Kluyveromyces lactis: one gene and its partner. The protein of the gene in region 2 interacts with the protein of the main gene of each other region in a pairwise test. Links are inferred from orthologs where the notes say so. Each region holds a gene or a part of one and is shown on either strand. Other genes may lie near its edges.

The links.
Region 1: the proteins of RAD18 (region 2) and KLLA0_A09757g interact in a two-hybrid assay, tested with the Schizosaccharomyces pombe proteins (2 studies listed by BioGRID). The link is inferred for Kluyveromyces lactis from reciprocal best matches to the Schizosaccharomyces pombe genes rhp18 and hua1.

The regions. Positions count from the first base shown.
Region 1 is NC_006037.1:854,871-857,514, forward strand, and holds KLLA0_A09757g (uncharacterized protein), read right to left. Parts: upstream 1,130-2,644; coding exon 536-1,129; downstream 1-535. Other genes in the region: FOL2 (GTP cyclohydrolase I), read right to left, coding at 1-30; KLLA0_A09779g (uncharacterized protein), read right to left, coding at 1,683-2,138; GOT1 (Got1p), read left to right, coding at 2,609-2,636.
Region 2 is NC_006039.1:765,337-768,699, forward strand, and holds RAD18 (E3 ubiquitin-protein ligase RAD18), read right to left. Parts: upstream 1,795-3,363; coding exon 511-1,794; downstream 1-510. Other genes in the region: GTPase-activating protein SED4, read left to right, coding at 1-165; HCM1 (Hcm1p), read right to left, coding at 2,306-3,363. UniProt on the Schizosaccharomyces pombe protein: E3 RING-finger protein, member of the UBC2/RAD6 epistasis group. Associates to the E2 ubiquitin conjugating enzyme ubc2/rad6 to form the ubc2-rad18 ubiquitin ligase complex involved in postreplicative repair (PRR) of damaged DNA.

The DNA.
Region 1 (2,644 bases), on a different chromosome or scaffold from region 2:
AGAGACGTGCGAGATATGTTTGTTTTCCATTATTGAATATAGCTAGCTGTATGGGTTACCTGATATGGGTTACTAATCCATGCAAAAGAAAGACCCTATAAATATGTGATACTGGTCAGACAACGGGACTTGTTGAGAGAAGCCGACAGAAGGAGACACGTACGCACAAACTAACACACAAAACGACAAACTTTCACTGAATTATCCAATCAGTTAAAGCTTGAAAGAGCCAACCCAAAATCGAAAACTTTACAATGGAACAAATGCATATGGTACGCTTTATACCTCTTGTTTCCTATAACTCGAACTCATCGAAATTTTTCACTTTTTGTCATACAAGGAAAAAAAGTAAAACTGTGGAAACACCGTACCATGAGAAGCAGCAATTAGACATGACTAGTTACTCTATCATGTGCTACCTCAGCCAGTACCCTGCTATTGAATGTTGTTAATGGACAAACATGAAATGAATAGAAATTAATTATGTACAATTTTACTTAAACAGTGTAGAGTTTGGGCGAATCAGATGATCAAACTAGTAGGTTGGTCCAGTAAGAATCCTGCCAAGACCGTAGCATACGGGACACGGTTCTTTATCCAAGAAGAATCGTACCCTACCAGTCCCATTGCAATTGTTACACATCATGCCTCCTATGCGACTGTCACCGGGACGCACAACGATAGGTGCTGAGTTTATGACGAAATTCTGTGGTGGCATCGTGACATTAGAGTATACGAACGCAGGTCTTGGCCCTGCACTTGGACGTGGTGGTTGTGCAGGTGGGGGTTTGTAGAATTTCGACCAACATTTCTTACATTTTTGTTGAGTCTTGATCTTGGTGCCAGTGTTCCCGCATTTTTTACAATAATATCCTGGAGGGTACGTCCAGGGTAGTTTCTTATTGCCAGTACTGGTACTGGTACTGCTTGAAAAGGTACTAGTGGAATGATGGTACGCTGGTATGGCATTGCTTGGCCGGGGCGGTCTTGCTGGTGGTTGTGTTGGACGTGGTGGAGGGTTTGGTGGGAGCTGCTGCTGCTGCTGCGAAGCAGCAGCAGTATCTTGTCTCAGCACTTCATCATACGACGGAAGATGCTCATCTGGCTGTATATCTGATTCTGATTTCATTGAAGTATTCTCAAAGTGACTGGTTCTCTGATCTCTGTTCTTTACTGATCCCGATCCCGTTCTCCATACACTTTTCTTTGACTAAATATATGTCCCTTATATATCTTGATCTTTTATATATACGTGATTTATTTGGCAGATGCACCTAAAATGAGGAAACCCTATAGCACGACGGCTGCAATGTGGACGAATCCCGATCCTAAACTGGGCTTTTAGCCATTGATAACTACTGGATGCAGCCAGTGAGTAACTGCGGACTTACAGACAAGGGTCCACTCTTGCCAATGCTCCTACTAATGGTTCTAATGGGCATCAAAGTCAAAGCCTTGATCAGTTCATGTTACCCGGACCATATATACAAATATCCGGGTAACAAACTCATATCTCTGCTCTGGCGATCTCATACTACTGACAAAGGAATCTGTCATCAATCAACAGACACCTGAGAGAGACAAGCAACTTCATATGGTTAGGAGTATCTGACTATGGGCGTTGCAATGCTAATATAAATTAAATTATTTACCTGGGTGTACATGTTATGTAGAATCTCTTCCTAATCCGTTGCATGGGCGGCATGGCTGGCATGGCTGGCATTGCTGACATGTTTACCCAAATGCTTTACTACAGCTACACCTAAGAGCACAACTGTGAGTATAAGACCACGTCTTGCTGGAAACTGCCTTCTATTGAATCTTGACCAACATGTTCTACACCTGCGTTGCGTCCTGGTCTCTACACCGGTGTTCCCGCACCTTCTACAGTAATACCATGGAGGATACGTCCAGGGAAGCTGGTCGATATCAGTACCGGTATTGCAGCTACTGGTAGTGGTGGAATTGGTGGCATTATTTGGTATATCATTGGACGCATCATTTGATTCGTCATTTGGTTCATCATTTGGTTCATCATTTGATGCCTCTTGATGCCGAGAAGCACCGGTAGACGAACCTTGTCCGACTGCTTCGTCATACGACGGAAGAATACCTGATTGTTTAACTGACGCTGCCATTATAGAATGTTGGGTCACGTGCCTAACAGCCAACGGCTCCTTCCAACCTTTCTTCCATGCATCTAGTTAGACATCTGGCTTATGCGTGTCTTATATATCCATGACTCGTCTAGCAGATGAGTGAACCATCATATCCACGCAATAACATGCAAATCCACGGCTCTAAGGTGGAAAAAGGAACCCTAAATGGTGTATAGTAATGGTGGCTTCAAGGGTATAAACCATTGGACTTAATAGCAACGGCCGGTAAATTTGCTGATTCAAAGCCTCGAACGATTTTCGTTACCCGGAAAACACAATGACCGGGTAACACTTCACGTCTTTTCAGTCCAGAAGCCCAATCGCGAAAAGCGATGGGCTTCTGGACGAGCGCAGTAAATATGTGCACATTAACGCATCAAGATAGGCACTGTTTGCCTCTCTATATATGCTCATAGTATTTGATATACACGCAACAATAGCACATAACAATGAGTAGTTGGCTATCGGAGTCACAGCGTATGTTA
Region 2 (3,363 bases):
GAACTCGAAGAATCAGACATTTCATCTGCCGAAAAGGATACAGAAGCTAAATCGAGCTTCTCATCCAGCACTACTATTTCTTCCTCCATTACCAAAACAGCGGATCAGGAAAGCGAATTCATAGTTACTGTTTCCGAAGAATTAACAACATCGGGAAGTTCATAATCGGCGATGGATGATTCAATTGCAGCTGCAGACTTAAACGAGCTTAAGGCTGTCGGTAATATTGAATCAATAGAAGCTTTTGAGTCACCTGTAATCTCTTCGGACATATTGGACACTGAATTAAACCCTACCAACGCTGAAATCGAAGAAAATATTATGGGTGCCCAAAGTGATAGCAATGTCGAGGAAACAAGAGTACAATCAGCCCCATCGCAATCTGGAGGTCGCAATTTAGAGGGAAGAGAAGATATCCTTAATGAATCTCCTGACATCATTCAAGATGAATTATAGATACTATATACTGATATACGATAAATAATGAAAAGTTGAGAATATTAGATTCTATTAATTATTCTCTGACGTTTGATCAATCTTTAGTATAGGTTCCGAACTTACTTCTGAGTTCGCATCACTCTTCTGGGAGAGCTCTTCCTTCTTCATCTTTGCAAGTTTATCGGAACGTTGTGCTTCCAATTTTAATGCTTTAAACGTTGACGTGTGATGTCTCATCCAACCTTTTCTATCAAATCTATCGCTTTTAAAAAGTTTGATCATGGCACTTATAGCATTAGTACGTTTATTACCCCTGAGAAGGTTAGTTATGCTATTGCTATCAGAAGAATGGTCTGTATTGTGCTTAGCTTCCCAACTGGATAGACGACGTTTAAGTTCATTTTCGTCAACAGGATCAATTGAATCTAAAAAATTACTATTCCATAACATTTCGTAATGCTTGTATCGCGCTACCATTTGCTGTTTGGTGCCATTTGATGGTAGAGCCAAAGAAGCAAGCTTCTGTTTCAATTGTGTCATAGATAAAGACTGAAAATCCAATCTTGGTAATCTATTTTCCTTTTGCTGCAGCAGCCCAGAATTTAAGTACCTCTCGTTATGGTACGTGATATCCTTCTTTTCTTTTACCTCTAGCAAATGTGAAGACGGCAGGCTAGTCTTCTCTTCTAGTGGTTGATGCGAAGATTCCATCGAAGGGGAGGGTGTACGTTCATCCAAAATCTCAAAAGAATCCGATCTCTCCAAACTACTACCTTTGTTCAAACACTCATCAATATGCGAACCTTCTAATTCTGAAAGCGGCAGGTGCTTGGAGCATATAGGACATTGTGCCTTCTTCTCTTGCCGCTGTGGATGATCCGTTTTCTTTTTCATTAACAACGTTGTTATACCATCATGTTTTCTCTTTTTAGTACTTACTGAAGATAAAGATGGGCTATCTGGAGTACCCCTCTTTGTACCTACAGATGTATCTGCCTCGTCAGATATTATTATTTCATTATCTTTTTCCTCTTCCTGAGATGATATTGTCAAGTGTTTCTGCAAAGAACCTCGCAGTTTCACGTAACTTGAACAAATCTCTTGTACTAGAAACTCTTTTTGTAGCATAGACTCAGTGAGGTCACTGAGACATAATGGGCATTTGCTCTCTTTCTGAAGGTACTTTCTTATGCAAATGGAACAGAAACTATGACCGCATGGCGTCAAGACCGATGCCTTTAAAAAATCTTTGCAGATATGACATCGAAGAAGTGAATCGAGGTCAGTAAGTTGCGGAACACTCGTGTGAAGAAAATCACGAGGATTCGATATAGTTTCAGGTACACTTAGCTTCATGACAGTTCTGGTTGATTCCTCTGCACTCCAGCATTTAATGTTTGATACTTTTCAGAAGGTAACTCGGATTATCTGCTTTTAGCTTCTTTTTATCGTATTTTAGTAATTTACAAAGTATGGCATAATATTGAAGCACTATTCAGAGCTAATTAAACAACGATGAAACGAAGTCAGATCAAATAACAAAGCCATATGGTCTATCAGGATAATATCCTTTGATTGTAAATATCGGTTAGAAGGAAATGTAAGAATTAAATATGATTGATATAATGATACATACATTAGCAATAACTATTGCAAATAAAAATACTTTAAAAAGGACACCAATGAATAAAAGAAAGGCGCGTACACTACAATAATTGAACGCAGGAATGAAATAAATTGAAAGAAATAAAGGAGACAAATAACTCAGCCATATAAAGAAACCCAAGCGTCAGGCAGATTGTGAAGAAAAACAAAAAATATGGTCATCGAGATAACGACAGACTCTATATGAAAAAGAAAGCAAACATTAGTTCATCCCATCAAAAGGAGGGTCCAAATCGTTTTTTGTTACCTCTTCTCGATAGCTATCTACTTCATCATTGCTGTTACAATGAGCAATCGCCCTTTTCCACACTGAACAAACATCAACACCAAAAAGAATGTTTGATGAATATTTGGAGTGATCAATTAATCCTGATTGACTGGATTCCTTGGGAGAAGTTTGATCTCTGAGACTCAACTTTCGGGGAGAATCAATACATTTCTTTTCTGTGTCATACTGTATCATACAATCATCTATAGATTGATTGATTACGTTTCTGAAAAACACTGGTGATGACGCATAATAATCTTCAAATAGACGAGACGGGCTTTGCCAAGTTCTGGTAGACGCCGGTGGGTTCAGACCATCTTTATTGAAATCTTTAGGTGTTGAAAAAATATTGAATTTCAGAGGAGTGACAGAGCTTTCCCTAATAGGTGTCTTTGAATTTTGCTGGTTAACTGATGGCAGCTGCAGCTTGTTCATCGGAGATACGGGTTCAAATGATGTGTTGAAAGAACACGAATATTTTTTGAATTTAGGAGAAGAGACGGCAGCAACCATTAAATCATCATATTCATGGTTATGTGCACTGACAGAGCGATGGTTAAATTTCAACGGGCCCACCAGATGACTAGAGTCTTGTCTTTTGACCATATTTTCATCTTCGTAATACAGGAAGTCTTTATCCGTAGCCGGAAACTGATGGCTTCCATGACCAGCAGCTTCGGCGTGATCACCTAATCGTGGCGATGAAGGTATATTGGTTATTGAAGTTGATTCTTCGTCACCGTCACTGCTTTGATCCAAGGAAGTATCACCCGCGTCACCAATATCACTCGATTTGTCATCCATGGTAGAAATTGAAAATGACTTATTTTTCCTTTTCGACTTATTGTACGAGGCAATTGATGATCCATTAAAACTGGACGTGGTACTGCCAGCTTCATAACCATCATCCAAATTCACACTCTTGAATCTTTGTAGCTTTACCTTAAAATCATCAATGGAAAAACTTTCATCATTTTTGAAGAACTTGGATT